Linked DNA regions of Solanum lycopersicum. The protein of the gene in region 3 binds, or shares a complex with, the protein of the main gene of each other region. Links are inferred from orthologs where the notes say so. Each region holds a gene or a part of one and is shown on either strand. Other genes may lie near its edges. The genes, in order: NAD(P)H-quinone oxidoreductase subunit S, chloroplastic; NAD(P)H-quinone oxidoreductase subunit T, chloroplastic; NAD(P)H-quinone oxidoreductase subunit N, chloroplastic; ndhI; photosynthetic NDH subunit of lumenal location 1, chloroplastic.

Region 1 (3,393 bases), on a different chromosome or scaffold from region 3:
TGTAAGATTTGAAGTTCACATTGAAATTGTTTATTCGCATAAGTAGATGTAAGATTTGAAGTCCATTAATTTTTACGATAATTTTAAATTAATAGTATATATTAATTATTGAATTTATTATCAAATATTTAATGAATCCTATAGAGACAAAAAAGAATTCTTTTCGTCCCCATTCTGGCTATTGATAGGAATAATTTACGCTCCAATTTATGCAAATTCAATGTGTACACTATATACACCTTTTATCAATACTTATTATCTCTAAATTGTGTTTAATAATGTATTAAAGAAAAATGGTATGAAATAGCAAAATATGTTATTCAAATTAAATAATATAGCTATGATTTATTTTGTTTGTAATTTGTCACAAACATTCCATTCTTTTGTAATCTGATTCGCTATACAATTAGTCATTTCCGATATATAATTAGACATTTTATATATTTCGATATAGAATGTATAAAATGTGTTTGTGTTTGTATGAAACGAGAGAAAAGATTATATACAAATACATACATACATACATACATACATACACACACATATATATATATATATATTCGTTCTATATACTTATGATTATATAAATCTAGATCTTATTATACAAATTACAATTTATAAATGAATTTATACAAAACTGAACAATCTGAATAAAATTGGATGTATCTAGCGAATTATACAAATCAAAAACTCCATAGCAAACATAAAATTTATTATGGAACGCAATTATGCAAACTATATTTACAACATACAAATATGATTTTTATGTTTGCAATTTGTGAAAAATTACGTCTTTAAAAAAACAACTTTAGAGGCTATTTAGATGAACTTAAAAAGTAACTTTTAAATCAAAAATAAAATGTCAAACTTAAATGATTTATAAGTTAAAAAATAAAAGGCAGAGGAAGACCTACTTTTGATTTTAAACTTATTTTAAGTCATTTTAAAGTTATTTTTAACTTTGTCAAACACTTTCTGACTTATTTTAAGCCATTTTTTACTTACTCTAAGTTATTTTTTATATTTATCGAACACTTCCAAAAATAAAAATAACTGACTTTTAAATCAATTCAAACGCCCTCTTATTTAATCAACTATATCTTCTACAAGACCCCTTTCACATGTGTGGTCCTGACTTTTAGAAATTCCTTTTGATAACAAATAGCAACATAGCGCGAATCTAATACCTCTATATACTCTGATCATCAAGTTAAATCATATGATCATTTTTTAAAAAAATCTTAAATTATTAAAGAAAAACATAATATATCTCGTGTAATTTCATAAATGAATATAAAAATTATAATTTACTTTTAACGCAATTCCTCACGTGTGGTCCTGATTCTTTTTGAAAGGATGGTGTAAAACATGAGTGCAAGTTTAATCTTTTTCCAAGGAAGATAACATCATTCATGTGTTTCATTTGTCAATAGAAGATATCAAAACAAAAACAGATTGGTGGTCAGAATTTGAAAGGACAAATTACAGTTTCCCATTTCTACTTCTCATCTCATCCTCTACCATCATCTTTCCCAAATCCAAAGTTCTTGAAAAAAAATCAAAACCATGGCTTCTGCTTCTTCCTTTCAACTCTCAAGCCTTCAAATTCAAACCCCACCTCTTAAAAAATCAAACTTTCTTGGTCAATCTGTCAATCTCAACCTCAGTAGTAGTGTTCATACCAAATCAGCTATGAAATCATCTTCAAACTCAGTTACACCAATAGCAAAATTCAATCTTTATGAGATTCTTGGAGGTAGAGGTCTGTGTAATGGAGAAGAGGGTATAGAGAAAGAGCTAAAAAAGTCGATTTCCGAAGAACAAAAGGCAGTAGGATCAGCAGCAGCAGCAGCTAGTGATGATGATAATCAAGAAAACAAGGAGACTGGGGAGATACCGGAGGACGGATTTGAGAAAGAAATGATGGGGTTTACTGGCGGATTTCCGGGAGGTGAGAAGGGTCTAATGAAATTTATAGAGAAAAATCCACCACCACCACCACCCAAGAAAACAGAATCAAGTATGGTTTCTGGTTTTAATCAAAGTCTTGTGAAGAAACCAAAGCCACCTGAATTGCCACTTTTGTTACCTGGGATGATTGCTATTGTCAAGAATTCTAATAATCCATATTATATGTATTGTGGGATTGTGCAGAGGATTACTGATGGTAAGGCTGCTGTGCTTTTTGAAGGTGGGAACTGGGATAGGTTGATATCTTTCAGGCTCGAAGAACTCGAACGTAGAGAGAAAGGACCGCCAATGGTGAATCTTAAGTCTGTGATACTTGAGAAGATGGTAGAAAAGAGCTCTGAAGCTTGAATTGCTTCAGTTTTTGAGTAGATTGTTTGTTCTTTTGTCTTTTGGGTTGTTGTACATACAAGCTGTAAGTTTTGTAATGGCAATGGCATGTAATAAGAAATGCAGAAAAACTTTTGTGCAGGAAGAGTTCTGTCCCAAATGAGAAGTTCAACTCTTAGCAGTGATGTTCGAAAGAACTCTTAACAAAAACAACGTAAAAAATAAGAATCAGGTAATTCAAACCACTTGCAAAACATATAGTCAAATATTTAATATGATTGCACAAGATCTAGTTTTGTTTAAGTAATGAATCCTAGCATGTTCTTCTGATCAATTCATAGATCATTAGATACCATCAGTAATGAGGATCTGAAATATCACACGTTTTATCGAGCAAAGAGAGAGTCTAGCAGAACAACAACATACAGTATTTAACAGTGAGTGATAAAACAATTCTTACTTTTCACAAGCATGAGGTACCTCTGACACCACATATGGTGGATCTTAGACTCCATCCAATTGGACAACAGGTCGATATCGATGTAGATAAGTTCAATAATGATAGCTAGCCTGAGAGAGAGTATACAATGGTGCAAACTGCAAGATTTTGACAGATTCTCAAACAGATGGACCAAAATTTTATAATGCATAGTCTGCAAATGTTTACATTCAGTATCAAGGTAGTAAGCCAATCCACGCATTAGCCTCCAATGTCTAATGATCATTAATTAAAGATGTCATTTGCAGAATACACTTATAATTCCAGAAAACTGTGTCAGTTATACCATACATGCAAAAGAAATCACCCAAATGTAAGCCAGACGTCGAAAAACTATGTCCTCTGTCTGCACATCTTCGCCTCAAAATTAGTTGCAGCCACCTAACTGTAAAAGTGGAGAAACAGTTTTAAGGGCAGTTATTGGCAGATTTTCATAGAATTATCTCTAGAACAAAATTGTTTGGCTTGAACTTAACAAATATGGCATCATGAATCTGTCTTCGCAGGTTAGTATCTATATGCTTGTGTTTACATCTTAAGCGCAGATTGCAGAATGTGAAGTGATGGAAATGAAGATTATATAATTAACACAGTAA
Region 2 (4,173 bases), about 2.5 Mb from region 3:
CACATTATTCCGTATATTATAATGTTTAAGCAACTAATCAATGAAGATAGAACATCTTAGAGCTAATTCTCCAATACATAGCCTTGTAAATGTTCAAATTGTTACTACCCAAGCACGTGACCTAGTGGTCAATGAAGTGGGTTGAGGACCATGAAGTCTCAAGCTCAATCCCCAAGAGAGACAAACGCATTAGGTGTCTAGGATCAAACTCTCCATGAGAAGATTCATATTTGCATTACTTATAGCTTTCTTGTTCGTAGACCAAGAGGATTTGGAATTGTCTTTCATTCCAAAGCATAACTTGTATTCATGAGCTTGGGCAGAGTTATCTGGTACCTGCACTGGTGAGAAGTAGCTGGTACCCAGTGGAATTAGTCAGTGTGGCACAAGCTTGGACCAGAACCACATTTATGAGGAAAAAGGTCCAAGTGTTGGGAGTTCTATATCTTACAGAAAACAATGTGTATGGCAGTTTAATACTATTATAACATAGAAGTATTCTTTTCCTTTTTGGTTGAGAGAAGGTGCCAACTTCTGTTGTAGGATTACATTAGTTAATTCATTTGATATTTGAAGAGTAAGTGAAATTTTAGAACTTATCAAACTCTTGAGAATTACGGAGTTGTTATCAAACTCTTGAGAATTACGGAGTTGTGTTATCAAGAAACGAGAAACTCTTGTTTCTATTTAGCAATTAGCATGACCGTTGGTGTTTTCTTGTTCTTTGTTATTATTTATTGATTGAAGAGTAGGTATCTAAATGCAGATTGATAGGAACGTGCGCTTCAAAGCACTCTTCAATTGGATTTTCCTAATATTCTCTTTTAGACCAGAATGAGACACAAAGATCAAATTGTGAATATGAATTTCCATGTCTTTCAGCATTATTTTGGTGTTTGTTTTAACAGGCAACTGGAGCTGGATATGGAAACTGTAGTTAAGGTACTACAACCTGGTCCACTAGGCATTGTGGAACACAAATTTTCTGCTGAGGAAATACAGAAAGCCAGTGACACCGTTAAGCATGCAGTGAGTAATTGGCGTAGGCAGGCTAACATTGAGAAACATAGCCCCATCATGAAAGATTTTATTGATGTATGAGAGAATTGTTTCTTCATTTGCTGTCAATAATCTCATGAAAAGACAATAGTGTAAATTTGTAATCTCAATAGAAATAAACTATAGTTATACTTATGACTAAAGCTCTAGTCGTTCTGTTTCCCAATCCATTGTCATTGCAGTGTATGAACTGCGTATTGACAGTATAGAATATTGTTGTTGTATAATGCACATAGTTGTTCCTGTTAATATTGTTCCTTGAAGACTACTGCATATATAATGCAGCAAAACGAAAAGATGATAATCAAGATATCAAATGTGAGGGCAGTTTTTGCCTGATTACTCAGCTCCATGTTCCTTCCACCAAGTCGATCCACCATGTCTGGAACAGATTCCCAGTTTTCTACTTCCAGCATGCGTGGATCTTGCAGCCTCATTTTCATTTTCTCTGCTTCTCGACTTGCTGTCTCCTGAGCTAGTGTCCAATCATAGAATCGCCGTTGTTCCTCATCACTCAGGACATCATAAATTTCTCTTAGTTTCATAAATTTCTCTGATGCTGCTCTTATAGGAAGATTAGTTGTGTCTGGATGATACTCCTTTGATAGCCTCCTATATGCAGCTTTAATTTCCTCTAGATCAGCTGTTGCAGATACTCCCAAGAACCTGAATTTGAAACATTAGAATTATGAACTGTGAGCCACACATTAAGAGATAAGATGAAGATAGCAAAGTAGATAATGAAGACTAACTGGTAGTGAGAATTAGCTGAACTGTTGAGGAGGTCTGAGAATTTTTCATCAAAGAGATTCTTTTCGTCTGTTTTGATTCGTTCTTGTGTGGACCGTGACTTACTCTCTCCTACCCATCCTTCATCTTCGTTTTCCCAGTGAATTCTTGTGTCAACACCAGGAGGAGCACGTTGTCGCCCAGTAGCCCCTTCTTCTTTTGCATAAACTTGTAAGCCAACACGGCGTCTTCTTTGTTTTGTTGTCAACCATCTGGTATCTGTTCTGTGCTCATTATTGGTTTGGTTCCTTGTAAGAAAGGTGAATGGAGCTGGTGGAGCTGTTGCTGACGCCATGGAATTGGAAATTTGTTTTGTGTCTGATTTGAGTAGTCTTAGAGGGAGGGGCTTTCTCATCACCTTGTCTTTCTGTGTGGTTGAGGAAATAACTAAACATTTTGTTTGCTTTTTTGTCTACATTTGTGAAATATCAATAATTTTGATTTTTGACGTTTGTACTCTTTAACTTCAAGACAATTTATATACATTCTTTAAGGTACTAAAAAAATTATAAAAGTAAGTTGGACAGGTTGAGTTATGATCCACGTTTTAGTCCATTTCAGTCCAAGTAACTTTTGGGCGGATCAATGACCTGTCTATTTATTAACTCAGCTCATTTTTAACCCGAACAAATTCAGTCTTACCCGCTCATTGCCACCTATAAATACAATCATACTCCTTGGGAGTTGGGTGGCAAAAAGAATGAGTTTGTGAGTTAGTGTTCGGAACGCAACACACCCCTTGTCTCTATATTTTCCTTTTTATATAATTATCATGATATTCAAGTTAGCTGACATATATTTAAACTAATTTTATAGGATGAGCTAACTCGTAACTTGTTTTTTGAATTGTTGAAGTGGAGGTCAATGTAATTTATTTTCTTTTTTGTGGCAAATAAAAGAGAGCCAAGTTGTTCTTTTAACCCTTTTTAAATCTATCTTGCTTTCAATTCACAAGGCAGGATCATTATACAAATATCACATATTTTACTTTTTTGAATAGATTCCGAATTTACAAACTTTAAATCCTGGATTCACATCTCGAGGAAACACAACTTCATACTCAAGCATCTAACAAAAATAATTAAAACAGAATGACAAGTCATGTTGAAGTATGGCATTGTATATAATTTATTATTACAATGCTTAAAGATACATTAAAAGACACTTGTTTGAGAAAACAGAGTTTTCATTGAGCATACTAAATAAAAGATGCTCAATTCCACAAACATTAAGAAAAACCAAACTTACAAGGTGTTAATATGCACTTTCTACATGATATATTGTAGTTTTACTAGCGTGAGTCTGAACTAATCATGCCAGTAAATTTCGCATACTAGATATGTAAAGCAAAAAAAAAAGTGTATATATATATATACACACTATAGCCAAAGAGCTTTAGCTTTCATGAGTAGAGGAACAAGATTTCCCTCTAGATGAAGACTCATAATCTCATTGGCACCGCCAATTAATTCTTGTCCAATAAACACTGCTGGCACGCTAGGCCTTCGGCCTAGCATCAGCAGAGCTCGCTCCACTTGTAGCCCATTGGGAAGTTCATCCAATTCATATACAGTTAAATTAGCACCAAAACTTGATATAAGTGTCTTTATAGTGTGACACATACAACACTTGCTTTTGCTAAACATAACCACTGGCTTTTCAGCTACCATTTTTTTCAATGACTCCATTTTTAATTAATGAAAAAAAAAGATTAATGTAATATAAGAGAATTGATAACTTGTTGAATTGATGATGAATTTGAAACTCTTATTGAAGCTATTTATATACTAATAGTGACTTGTGAAGATTCAATATGCTTCCTCTAAACCCCCCCCCCCCCCCCCCCCCCCACCCAAATAAATTAAAGGAAGGAATAATTTTTTAGATAAGGAGTTGATACTGTTAGATAGCATTAGAAGTTCTTGATACTGTCTTAAAAGTGTACCAAAAATATATATATAAAAAAAAAATCCACCATAAAGTATGGAGGCTAGTAAGTGAACTTTGTTACATATCTACATATTTTTTTTCCAATTAAGTTCCAATATAAATTCTTCTTCTAATTAAACACATGGGTTTTACAATCAATAAATTATCTCTTTTTTGGTTAAAAACATGTATATACACTAATTCAAAAATAACTTTTAACGAAAGTAAATAAATATATTAGTAAAGAGTGTTAAAGTTTTTATCGACATTAGTTAAGTGCTATTAAATCCAATGTTACTAAATGCTATAAAAAAAATACTAAATTATCACTAAAAATACATATTTAATAATAATTAAATAATTATCTTAATTAATTACCGCTAAATATCTTCCTCG
Region 3 (5,033 bases):
TTCTCCTGTACATGCCATGAATAGAATAGTCATGTAAAAGTAAAGGATATGGCAGCCCGGTGGACGAAGGATCTTGTGTCCACGCAAGGTGCAGGAAAGGGCCGCAGCTCAAGGGGATGTAAATAGAATAGTTATGTAATGAACATATATTCAAAAATTAACATGAGCATGCACCTCTTGAATAGAAGGGAATTCAATTCTCAAAAAGATGAACAACAAGAACATATTCAGTGTAGTCCCACAAATTGGGGTATGGGGAGGGTTGAGTGTATGTATACCTTAGCCCAACCTCAAAAGTAGAGAGGTTGTTTACTATTGACCTTCGGCAATTCTAAAAAGATGAAAAAAAAGAAAACCAAAAGATGCTATCTTTATTAAAGTACTTGTCCTGACTCTTGCATCTACAAGCTAAGAATGATGATAAAGTATGTAGCATTGACCACAGAAGGCTAAACTGAAGTAAATCCAGGTAGCTTTTGCATACAATGTTGTTTTAACCACAACGACAAGATCTCAAAGTTTCCTTATTTACAAGAGAGTTGATTGATAAACAAGAAAAAGGAAGATGAAAGGAAAATCTTACCAGTTACCACACTCTGCAATGACCCTCACATTAGGACGAAGTGTCGGGAGTAAAGCAAGAAACTGCAGCTCTGCCTTTGATAAGACCTGAACATTTTAGGTCAAACAGTTAACAAAGATCTAGTCAAAATACTGCTGATGGACTAATTAGATGATGTACACTTGAAGGGGTGGATTTAACCTTGGCTTCTATTATCCAAACCACTAATCCTTTAGCATCCGGAGGAAGTAAAGAAAGCCTATAATCAACTTCTGGAGGAAAATACCATCTAGCTATTGGTTGCTTACCAACATGAGCCTGCAACATCAAAATTTGCAGATGAGAGTCAATTAGACACTGCAAGTTAGTGTTTGAGAATAAGCATATCGTATGCGAACTGCTAAACTTACAGGGCAGACAGGGTGGAATTTGGTAAGAGTGGTTTCAGGGTCACCGAGGCCACGAGCCGAAAGGTCCAAGAAATGATATCCCTGGTACTTAAGACGTGTAAGGTAGCGTCCTTCATAGCCCCCTTCATGAGGAGAGTAAATTGCTATGGCTTTGTGTTCTTCCACATCTGATAACCATTGACCCAAATCAGGTTTAATGAGATCTCCACCTATGAAGTCCTGAAGTTCAATGTTACATCTAATTGCTCCTTTCTTTTGTCTTCCAACTGAATCAAGTCTTCTCGTTCTCACAGCCTTTGATATGCCATTTAATTGTACTCGTTGCTTCTGCAGACCATAAGACTGCACTGCCCCTTGATAACAGGCTGCATTTTGCCATTTTAATTCAGATTTCATGGTACATGACCGAAAGAACAAAGGCATCATAATGAAAAACATTGAACGTTAAGACATCACTCTCAAAATTTAATTAATGCGAACAGGATAACAGTATCATTTTGGTGCTGCAAGTGTGCATTTCCACATGTAAAAGGTAGAAAAAGTTATAAATAAGTCATTTTCCAAAGAGAACTGATAAGATTATGTTACAGGGAGAACTGAAAGGGTGCCTACTGTAAGCAACCTGTGAAACTCGAGAACCAGAAGTCAGTTTTTACCATTGTCAACAATGGCTAGAAACATTGCCAATGCACTGCTTAATGTGACAGTGCATAACAGTAAGCACAAACATTTTCAGCTTTATAGACCAATATTAGGGAAAGTCTGGATTTCATACCATGTAAAACAATAACAATCGGGAACAAATGTGAGTTGGAGCTGAATCTCTACTCACCCAAAAAACAAAACTTCAAAACATAATTAAGTAAATGTACACTTTCACTACCTACCCCACTAATATTTACATATAACAAGCTGGAATCACCCATTATGATATCAAGTCTTGATCTTTTTAGTTCTTTAACCATCACCCTAATTTTGTAACAACACATAATAGCAACTAAGCATACGTCTTCACACACACGCACACCGTGATATTGAACTATAAATCTGAAAATTGGGAACAAATGCGAGTAGAAGCTGAATCTCTACACACCCAAACCATAGCTTAAAAACAGAATTAAGTAAAGTGTACATATCACTCCCTACTCAACTAAATATTCACATTTAACAAGATTGAATAGTCCATTAAGTTAAGTCTTGATCTTTTCAGTTCTTTAACCATCCCCCTAATATCAAGATATTATAACAACACATAATAGCAACTAAACGTTATACATCTTCACACACACACACACACACACCATGATATTGAACCATAAAGCTGAAAATTGGGAACAAATGTGAGTTGAAGCTGAATTTGTACACAACTTCAAAACATTATTAAGTAAAATGCATACTTCCACTCCCTACATAACTTAATATTTACATTTAACAAGCTTGAATCAACCATTAAGTTATCAAGTCCGTAAAGATATTGTCATCCGGACCTAACTCAATCGCAAAACCATACACCCTCCTTCACGCTTAGGCCCCTTGAGAGCGAGAACCAAAAGCTCACACCGGGAATGAACCTGGTACTCATACCATGTAAAATTAAGTTTTAGGCCTATCTAAACTACCTCAAAGGTAGGAGGTGCTCAAGCCTTAACCACCAATATGAACCCCTTTTTTTTAAAAAAAAATAAAAATTAACACCCCACCTCACACAGATGCAATATTATTACAAAGTCTTGATCTTTTCACTTTTTTAGTGATCACCCTAATATCAAGATATTGTAACAACCCATAATATCAATTAAGCATTATAAATCTTCACACTGCGCACACACACAGAGAAAGGGGTTATTGGGGATGACCTGAAGAGGAACAGGGTTGGTCTTCAGTGGAAATATTGGGGCGCCGCCGGCAAGAAGACCCATTGCTAGTAATCAAGAACCTCCTAGTGCTGCTGCTGCTGCTGGTGGTGCTAGGGAAGGTGTAGGAGAGAGTTGTCATTTGGGTATTTTGGTGGCAGTGTGTGAGTGGTGGCAGTAGGCAGCTATAGCAACAGAGACTGTGGAAGGACCATTGCAAACTTGGACAAAGATGACTACTTTGTTCCTTGCCACTCAATAAATGTGCTGATAAACTTTACAATAAAGAAATTACAAATAACAAATATTTAAATATGCATAATAATATTAGCTATATAAATTTATGGGATAAGTTCTATATTTTAAAAATTGAAATGATGTTTTGGGGAGAATTTAAAATTTGAGATAACATAATCTCAAATTAGTTATTCAAATTTTAATTTTATATTGTATATTCAAACATAGCTAGAATAATAATCATAAGGTGAGAGTTCAAACTCTATTGTAACTTTTTTAATGAAATAATTTTGTGATTTAGAAAAGAACAAAAGCCAAACTTAAACCTAATTTATATATTTTGGATTGAAAATCCAAAATCCAAGTAAAGATTATGAAATTTCCAAACATCCTATTTAATTGCATAAGTTGTCCTTCAAATAAATTAATTTTTATTCTTTTATATTTTGAATTTTTAAAATAAAACAAAGTTAAGTATTCATTGTAAAATTCATAAGGAGTAAGAACGTTCACCACAGATAAAATATGAATTGTGATACGACCATTAACATCTAAAAAAGACAATGTTTCACAATAATTACTAGTAAAACTTTTGAAACACATAACAGAACTCCAAAAATAATTGGAGCACATATATCTCCTTCCTTTAACTAGAACACGTACTATGGTGCTTTGATTCCTGCATCATATTTTGAAAATAAATTTATACCTTATAAGACATAAGTTGTTTAAGATAACAAAATATAACCAACACTCAATATATAATGATTTTAAAATATAAATTACCAGTGAAAATATTATTTATATAGTATTAAAACATAAAAACTAAAACCAGCTCTGTTGTAAGAGGGAAAATAAAAAAGACAAACTTTAGGGCTTTTTATATAGTAATCTCCCTATCGAAACCTCAAAGATTTCCCATTTCTGCAAAACCCAAATGGAATCCAAAGAGGACGAAGCCTCCCAAAGCGGAGCAAACCCATGGAAATTCAGTCCATTTCAAGCAAAGATTTAGTTTTGTTAAGGCTTCCGGTGAAATCCCTTTTACAATTCAGGTCTGTGTCGAAATCTTGGCTTTCCTTAATCTCTATCCCTAAATTTGTGAAGACGCATCTCTTATTTTGTGCTAGTAACAAGGAGTTATGTTTAAGGTTGCTATTTATGTTGGCTAGTTATGTGTAGTGATTTACATCGCCATTCTGTAAAGGAGGTAATTGACTTGGATTATCCAGGTAAAATTTCCAAAGACTATCCTTGGCTGGTGGGTTCGGTAAACAGATTGATTTGTGTTGCCTATGTAACAAATTGCATGACTTGTTTATATGGAATCCGTCAATTAGAAAGTATAGCAAGTTGCCTAGTTATAGACTTAATCGATGTGGTGGATATCAAGTGGAGGAACCTGGGGATAGCAGATTTGGTTTTGCGTTGATGTGCTTCAAGATGATTACAACGTAGTGGGAGTTTGCCCTGTTTACAGAAATATGCGTCTATGTCGTGTTGAGGTCCAGATATATTGTCTAAGGAGTTTATGGGAGGCGTATTAACGGAGTTTAAAGATAGATTTTTTTTCCATTTTCGGGGTAAGCTTGTGTAAGGGAAACTTCATTGGATTGAAATGGGCATGAACATTTCTTCTATTGATTTGTGTGATGAGAAATGTGTAGAGATAGAAAAGCGCTGCAATTTTAACTTTAATGATTATGGTCATTTCTTACTAGGAGTGCTTAAAAGTGATCTTTCTGTGTTCTGTAATTACATGCAGGGTGCAGACATCTGGGTTATGCGGAGTATGGAGTTGAAGAATCTAGGACAAAGTTGTTTACTATCAAGTCTCATAATGAATTTATACCATGTTTGTAGGGTTTGCCCCTTTTTTGTCAAATGGGGACATTTTGCTTAAAATTGAATCACGTTTGGGGAAATATAATCCATAGAATGACTCGATCAAATATCTAGAGGTTACTAACT
Region 4 (2,898 bases), on a different chromosome or scaffold from region 3:
GATAAGACAGAACAAAATTTTATTTGAATTCCAAGTTTTAATAGAAATTTTTTATTGACGAGCTACAGCAATTGCACCTATTAAAGCAACTAAAAGGATTATGGAAATAAGTTCAAATGGGAGAAAAAAATCTGTTGATAAATGAATTCCAATTTGTTGACTATTACTTAGAAAATCTTGCTCTATAATCTGGTTTGATCTTGTAGTCCAAATAATCCCGTACCATGACGTATCTGAAATAGTAGTAATTAGTGAAATAAAAAGACTTATACAAACCATCGAAGTAATTCCATCTCCTACGGTCCAAAGATGAAAATCCTTGTAATATTCTGAGCCATTCATGAACATCACAGCAAAAATGATTAAAACATTTATAGCTCCTACGTAAATAAGTAGCTGCGCAGCAGCTACAAAATAGGCGTTAGATAGAATATAGAATAACGATGTACAAACAAGAACCAATCCCAAGGAAAAGGCCGAATAAATTGGATTGGGAAGTAATACCACTCCTAGACCCCCTAATATAAGACCCGATCCTAGAAAGACTAAAAGAAAATCATGTATTGGTTCAGATAAATCCATTTTTTATAAAAAATCAAAAACGAAGAATTTCATGACTTTATTGACCTGACCAGGAAAAAAGCAGTTTTTCTATTTTTTATGATACTTTGAAATTGTTAATTGAATGAAAGTCTAATGGGTATGAATTGACGTAGATGCTTTTATTTTATTGGACCACTATCCATTCTTTATTCGTCGAAAGAGGAGTTTAAACCTATCTATTTTTGATATCATTTATCTACTTTGAAACCATTACTATTATAATATATAATATTGAACTCGGTTTTGTTTTCAATCTAAATTAAGCTTAAGCTAGGAGTCTCATTAAGAAACCACTAGTTTGAATTGCCCAAGCAAAAATCTCATTGTTTTAGATCCGAACTAAGCCTTCGTAATTTGTAATTTTTTTGAATCAAATTAAGGGTTTATTCATTGTTTATTTGAGGTAAATTCGAAATTGTTCGAATTGTGTAATCATCAATTACTGACATTGGTAAGCGACCCAAAGCGATTTGATTATAATTCAATTCGTGACGATCATAAGTAGAAAGTTCATATTCTTCGGTCATTGATAAACAATTTGTTGGGCAATACTCAACGCAATTACCACAAAATATACAGATTCCAAAATCAATACTGTAATTAAGCAATCGTTTCTTTCGAATATCAGTTTCCAACTTCCAATCAACAACGGGTAAATCTATAGGACATACACGCACACATACTTCACAAGCAATGCATTTATCAAATTCAAAGTGTATTCGGCCTCGGAAACGTTCCGATGTGATCAATTTTTCGTAGGGGTATTGAATAGTTACAGGTAAACGATTTGCGTGGGACAGGGTAATCATGAAACCTTGGCCGATATATCTGGCGGCTCGTATTGTTTGTTGACCATAATTTATGAATTCAGTTATCATAGGGAGCATATGTTGAATATCTATAAAAAAGATTTTATGCTTGTTTCTTTCTCTTGTTTGAGACAAGTCGTGAATCTAGGATATTGTGGTCTTTTACAGTGAAAGAAGTTGGGACGAGGTTGTCAATAATAGATTACCTAGAGAAATCGGTAAAAGAAATTTCCACCCAAGATTTAATAGTTGGTCCATTCTCAGCCTCGGTAAAGTCCATCTTGTTGCAATGGGAATGAACAAAAACAAATAAGTTTTGGCTAATGTGATAAAGATACCAATTAGTGTTCCAAAGACTTTACCTCCTTTATTTATGCCAAATATATCAGGAACAAATATGTACGGAATAGAAAGATTCCAACCTCCCAAGTAAAGAACTGTTACAAATAATGAAGAAACTAGTAGATTCAGATATGAAGCAATGTAAAATAAACCAAATTTGATACCAGAATATTCGGTTTGATACCCTGCTACTAATTCTTCTTCTGCTTCTGGTAAATCAAAAGGTAATCTTTCACACTCGGCGAGAGAAGAAATTAGAAAAACGATAAACCCGATGGGTTGACGCCACAAATTCCACCCCCAAAAACCATATTTTGACTGCGCTTCCACTATATCAACTGTACTTAAACTGTTAGATAATCATAGTCGATGATAACATCACTGTGCCCATCGCTATTACAGAACCGTACGTGAGATTTTCACCTCATACGGCTCCTCAGAGGTCACAACTAAATCTAAGGGCCCTTTCCTATTCTTTATCTTGATATGTTTGTCAGATAGAGTCAAAATCTATTCTAAGGTCCCAAATTAGACCAATGGAATTCTGTCTGCTATATTTAAAACTAATAAATAAGTGCTTCTGAATTTATCTCATCTTTTAAGAATTTTAATTTTTCTTTGTTGATTAATAACCTTATCATTAAATAAAAAAATGTGCTTTATAGCAATATCACATATACATTTCAACCTCGAATTTTCAATTACGAAAAAAATTAGAGAGTACATTAGTTCATGAATCATGACAAAAATTTTATCTCTCTAAATAGAAATAAAAATTGAATTATAGGAAAGAAAGAATAAAAACAAAAAAAGACATCCCTCCTTTTTCCTTTTGCAATTAGCTTCTTTTCTTTCTATTTCGATTTTTTTATTTCATTCCTATTCTCCTTTCTCAGAAAAAGGGTCTTTAACCAAAGTAAAAGATTACTTCGTTCTTGATAGTTAGTTACTTACTCAGTGGATAGGAACATACTCTGGATCAGAATCATGGGGAGTACTTCTTGATCATTTCTACGAACGTAAAGCCCCAATTTGAATTCCTTTTATGTACAGAAATATCCTCTTGGATAACTTACATAATCTCAATTACTAATCCTTTGTGTATCTTAGTCTTCCTAACCATCCACTCATTTTTTGTTTCAAA
Region 5 (3,948 bases), on a different chromosome or scaffold from region 3:
AGACGCAATCCTTGCTCATTGAATTGGTGGTCATTTCGTAGTTGATGACCCAAATGAAATTACCACACCATGAAGAAATGTCATGCGATAAGTCTCATCAGCTTGAAACATTTCAAGTTGAAAATGAGTTGATAAACAACTGAAATTCAAATGACCTCTTACAAATTAGAAAATATTGTAATAAAGACTATGGTAAATGTTGACCTTAACATATCGACATGGTCATCTCTCATGAAGCTTCAAATGTCTCGTGAAAGATCAACTACGATAAAAAAAACATTTGCTTCACAAATACTTCAAGGCTTGTCTTTACAAGTTCGACAAATCAAGCACCTCAACAAGCCTCAAAGTAGGGGCATTTGTAAACACTGAAGTTTTATTGATAAATCCATATTACATTTGGATTAAATCTTAAATCACCATATGTTGACCAAGTCAAATTACTGGTTGATAAAGTCTAATTAATATCTAAGCCAAAATTGTATGACTTAAATCAAGTCCAAATCATTTGGATCATTCCATTAAGTTGACAAGATGAGCCCAACTCATGTTCTTCAGGCCCAGGGATCAAAATTGCTCAGACCAAAATACCCTAAAGCCCTAACTCAAGCCTATATAAAGAGGTATTCTTCTGACCAAAAGGACAAAAAAAAATACATATACACAGGAATACATAATTGCTTTTCAGCATATAAAGAAGTCTTCGCTCCAAGGGTTGAGCCGCAAGTATTCCGCCAAATCAATAACATCTGTGAAGAGAAGAATCAGGGGATTAAATATCTTTTTGAGATATTTTATAAAGATTGTAACCTTAGTATTAATTCAAATACAAATATTATTGTTTGCTTGCTATTTTTCCTTTCCTGTATATTGTATTTCAGGATTGAAACTTTAGACGCATACACTGAGATTTGGATCATCCAAGGTACATTAACATGGCGTACTCCACCCCTGGTACCCTTTGATCATTCTTCAATTATATTTGGCGTTGCATTTACACAGTTGATGAATACCTCCACGCTAGGATGTAAATTGATCATTGATGCATCGCCAGTTGGATTTCCTTTCAAATAGCTTGTGCTATACAGTGATTGAAAGAACCTGTGCTTGGTTTTTCCACATCAACATGGGTGCATTTGATATCACATTTCATATGGTCGAGTTGTTAAAGTATCATTATCTTAAATTCTTCGAAGTCAATTGTTAAGGTTTTTAGCATTGATCAACCCATTAATTTTTAAGTTATAAGTTTACATTTACTATCTATTGCAATTTTGATGAATTTTTACACATAAATTTATATTTCGCATTAAAAGTACTGAGTTCAGATAAACTCGGTATCAATACATTAGATCCGCCTCATCCATCAAGGATTCAAGTTTGTGCTGTTGTTACATACAGATATTTATGACATGGTAAACTTGTGAAAAATTTGCAAGAACAATTAGTAAAAATTATCAATGTGGATATAGTCAAATTTTAGCCCCACATATGAAGCACAGCTCATTTAGTTGTAGTTGAAAGAGACATAAAAGCCCATTTGGACCTTGGCAGGAAAGGTCATCCTCACATTTAATTTGCATCTTATCCTATTGAGCAAGAAAAAATGATGGAAAAAAAAGTGATTGTATTAGGAGAAAAAATAAACATGTTAAGCAAAAATCTAGTGATTTTTGTCCACAAAAATGGCAGCTACTTCACTCTCATTGAATCTTGGGCTTCCATCACCAGCAGCCAACAATTTGAATAGGCATGGCTTACACAACATTATTACATGTTCGGCATCAGAAAACACGTCCCCTAATCAACAGAGTAAGAAAATTTCATATCGATCAATTATGAAGTCATGTTTGCATTTACGCCATTTTCTCCGTGGTAAAATTCTACTAGTATCTCTGTTTCAGGATGCTTGATGAGAAGGTCATATCTATTAGGAGCAGGGGCTCTTTCGTTGGGTTTATTATTACCCGCGACTCCCCTTCTAGCTCAAGGTACTCTGTTACTATAATTTTTATTCTCTAAACTTTTTACTTTTTATAATTAAATGACGTGTATGCAGGAGTACCGGAGAACTATGAAATCTTTGTTGACAAACGAGATGGTTATTCGTATTACTATCCATCAGATTGGAGGGTATGTTGCTTCTTTTTTTTTTAAGAAATGAATTTTTAGAAATTAGTAAACTCTCATTTTGACTTTGGATGTATGTACAGGAATTCGATTTCAGAGGTCATGATTCTGCATTTAAAGATAGGTATCTACAACTGCAAAATGTAAGACTTAGTTTTATACCAACTGATAAAACAGATATCCATGATTTGGGGCCAATGCAAGAGGTAAATCGCGGTACTATTCATCTATGTAGCCGTTTTTTATTAAGCTATCAAGGAGGAGAAAAATATAAAAAAGACATGTATTTTCTTCGTCATACCAACTTATTTCTACTTTCCTAAAGGTTGTGCCCGATCTGGTAAAACATGTTTACTCTGCACCGAATCAGGTGGCAAATATAATGGAAATGAAGGAGGTATGATCCTTTCTTATTCTCTTGATTGTACAATATACGTAGCTCTTTTTCAATTAGTCACCATATTTTTGTTCAAAATTATGTAGAGAACTACGGATGGGAAAAACTATTTCACCTTTGAATATGTATTGACATCTCCAAATTTTTCGCGGGCAGCATTTGCTACTATAGCAATTGCAAATGGTAAGTGATCTGGTTTGTTTCCTTTAACTGTACATTACATTTTTCTGCATTCGTATTAAGACATTTCGTACAGGGAGATACTACACATTAATCGTGGGAGCGAATGAAAGGCGATGGAGAAAATTCCGCAACAAACTTAAAGTGGTGGCTGATTCATTTCAGGTGTTGGACATTTAGAATTGTTCTAAGAGCTGCAATGATAGAGTCTTGTTCCATGAAACAGGATTTGCAATTTGTTTATTGAATTACAGTACAAAGAATGTTTCTGGCTATCCCATAAGTAACTGAAATCCCCTTGTAGTTGAAGCGGTGAAGTGTTAACGACAAATTTTAAAGTGATGGAAAATAAAGCACAAATAAAGTACGGCATGATACATATCTAATCTTGGTTTCAAATTTTAACTTTGACCTCCAACGTTCATAGTAAACAAACAAACACTTCAATTATCTAACCCTTTAATAAATAAACACGCGAGTCGTACCTGGCAAACATGTAATGTGCATGTATTTTGTGCGAGTTAGGAGTAGTAATTTTTGAGGTCCACAATGGTAAAAAAATGCTGAAATAACAACTCCACCATTAATGAATCCCTTTTATATATTTTTTTATATTTCCAAATCAAAATTCATTTAAATTTTTTTTAAATTCTAAAATGGACGCATAAAATATTTAATTAGTTGGCAGTCATTGAGTGGCTCACTAATATACGTGGGAGCATTTGCATTTCACTCTCTTTGTCTCCAAAAATCGTGTGTTTATTTATTTAATGGTATGATAGTTTAAGTGTCTATTTGTGCACTATTAAAGTTGGAGGTCAAAGTCAAAATTTGAAGTCAAGTTTAGGGTCCAATATATGTATTATGCCTATAAAATATGATGAAACACAGTTTTTCATTGGTATTTGCGAGTATAAGTTCTCTTGATTTTTCTCTCTGAATTAAATCTGTTATTCGAGGGTGGTTAGTAACATATTTCTCGAATATATGATAATTTGGACCTCTTTGAGATATATTTGATTGTAAGGCAATATTTGATGTCTTGATCTCTTTGTGAATATTCTAGGAGTTTATGACATATTTGACATACCTCTTCAAGGGAATATATTACCCTTATATAAACGTGAACTAGGTTTTAGAATAAAGTAACTTTTACCCTTATATAGGCGTGAACTAGGATTTAGAATAGAGTAACTTCTGTGAACTGTAACAAAGATTGAGCTCGTCTTGTAGAATCACAC

What was found.
Region 1: NAD(P)H-quinone oxidoreductase subunit N, chloroplastic (region 3) and NAD(P)H-quinone oxidoreductase subunit S, chloroplastic share a complex: the UniProt entries of both Arabidopsis thaliana proteins name them as parts of the chloroplast NDH complex. The link is inferred for Solanum lycopersicum from reciprocal best matches to the Arabidopsis thaliana genes NdhN and NdhS.
Region 2: NAD(P)H-quinone oxidoreductase subunit N, chloroplastic (region 3) and NAD(P)H-quinone oxidoreductase subunit T, chloroplastic share a complex: the UniProt entries of both Arabidopsis thaliana proteins name them as parts of the chloroplast NDH complex. The link is inferred for Solanum lycopersicum from reciprocal best matches to the Arabidopsis thaliana genes NdhN and NdhT.
Region 4: the proteins of NAD(P)H-quinone oxidoreductase subunit N, chloroplastic (region 3) and ndhI are in contact, whole or in part, in a cryo-EM structure (PDB 7WFG), measured with the Arabidopsis thaliana proteins. The link is inferred for Solanum lycopersicum from reciprocal best matches to the Arabidopsis thaliana genes NdhN and ndhI. Residues at the interface, in NP_200634.1 of Arabidopsis thaliana: His81, Asp102, Ile103, Ser104, Ala105, Arg106, Gly107, Leu108, Gly109, Asp110, Pro120, Cys122, Pro123, Ala124, His125, Leu126, Gly127, Ile131, Arg133, Val163, Leu164, Ser165, Lys166; in NP_051113.1 of Arabidopsis thaliana: Tyr44, Ile76, Asp77, Leu78, Pro79, Val80, Val81, Asp82, Asn96, Ser98, Asp100, Ile103, Glu124, Glu126, Thr129, Tyr130, Glu134, Tyr137, Asn138, Ile140, Ala141, Arg144, Leu145, Pro146, Met147.
Region 5: NAD(P)H-quinone oxidoreductase subunit N, chloroplastic (region 3) and photosynthetic NDH subunit of lumenal location 1, chloroplastic share a complex: the UniProt entries of both Arabidopsis thaliana proteins name them as parts of the chloroplast NDH complex. The link is inferred for Solanum lycopersicum from reciprocal best matches to the Arabidopsis thaliana genes NdhN and PnsL1.

What each region holds. Positions count from the first base shown.
Region 1 is NC_090807.1:67,427,015-67,430,407, reverse strand, and holds NAD(P)H-quinone oxidoreductase subunit S, chloroplastic, read left to right. Parts: upstream 1-1,566; coding exon 1,567-2,319; 3' UTR 2,320-2,443; downstream 2,444-3,393. UniProt on the Arabidopsis thaliana protein: NDH shuttles electrons from NAD(P)H:plastoquinone, via FMN and iron-sulfur (Fe-S) centers, to quinones in the photosynthetic chain and possibly in a chloroplast respiratory chain.
Region 2 is NC_090808.1:63,749,448-63,753,620, reverse strand, and holds NAD(P)H-quinone oxidoreductase subunit T, chloroplastic, read right to left. Parts: upstream 2,581-4,173; 5' UTR 2,204-2,580; coding exon 1,812-2,203; intron 1,726-1,811; coding exon 1,305-1,725; 3' UTR 1,102-1,304; downstream 1-1,101. Other genes in the region: uncharacterized protein, read left to right, coding at 909-1,101; monothiol glutaredoxin-S2-like, read right to left, coding at 3,228-3,536. UniProt on the Arabidopsis thaliana protein: NDH shuttles electrons from NAD(P)H:plastoquinone, via FMN and iron-sulfur (Fe-S) centers, to quinones in the photosynthetic chain and possibly in a chloroplast respiratory chain.
Region 3 is NC_090808.1:66,281,882-66,286,914, reverse strand, and holds the start of NAD(P)H-quinone oxidoreductase subunit N, chloroplastic, read right to left. Parts: upstream 3,238-5,033; 5' UTR 2,968-3,237; coding exon 2,829-2,967; intron 1,338-2,828; coding exon 973-1,337; intron 881-972; coding exon 764-880; intron 670-763; coding exon 584-669; intron 6-583; coding exon 1-5. UniProt on the Arabidopsis thaliana protein: NDH shuttles electrons from NAD(P)H:plastoquinone, via FMN and iron-sulfur (Fe-S) centers, to quinones in the photosynthetic chain and possibly in a chloroplast respiratory chain.
Region 4 is NC_007898.3:119,536-122,433, forward strand, and holds ndhI (NADH-plastoquinone oxidoreductase subunit I), read right to left. Parts: upstream 1,491-2,898; coding exon 987-1,490; downstream 1-986. Other genes in the region: ndhG (NADH-plastoquinone oxidoreductase subunit 6), read right to left, coding at 52-582; ndhA (NADH-plastoquinone oxidoreductase subunit 1), read right to left, coding at 1,575-2,114. UniProt on the Arabidopsis thaliana protein: NDH shuttles electrons from NAD(P)H:plastoquinone, via FMN and iron-sulfur (Fe-S) centers, to quinones in the photosynthetic chain and possibly in a chloroplast respiratory chain.
Region 5 is NC_090809.1:53,936,638-53,940,585, forward strand, and holds photosynthetic NDH subunit of lumenal location 1, chloroplastic, read left to right. Parts: upstream 1-1,538; 5' UTR 1,539-1,685; coding exon 1,686-1,812; intron 1,813-1,890; exon of another isoform or gene 1,891-1,904; coding exon 1,905-1,991; intron 1,992-2,059; coding exon 2,060-2,133; intron 2,134-2,213; coding exon 2,214-2,336; intron 2,337-2,455; coding exon 2,456-2,527; intron 2,528-2,613; coding exon 2,614-2,710; intron 2,711-2,783; coding exon 2,784-2,887; 3' UTR 2,888-3,093; downstream 3,094-3,948. UniProt on the Arabidopsis thaliana protein: NDH shuttles electrons from NAD(P)H:plastoquinone, via FMN and iron-sulfur (Fe-S) centers, to quinones in the photosynthetic chain and possibly in a chloroplast respiratory chain.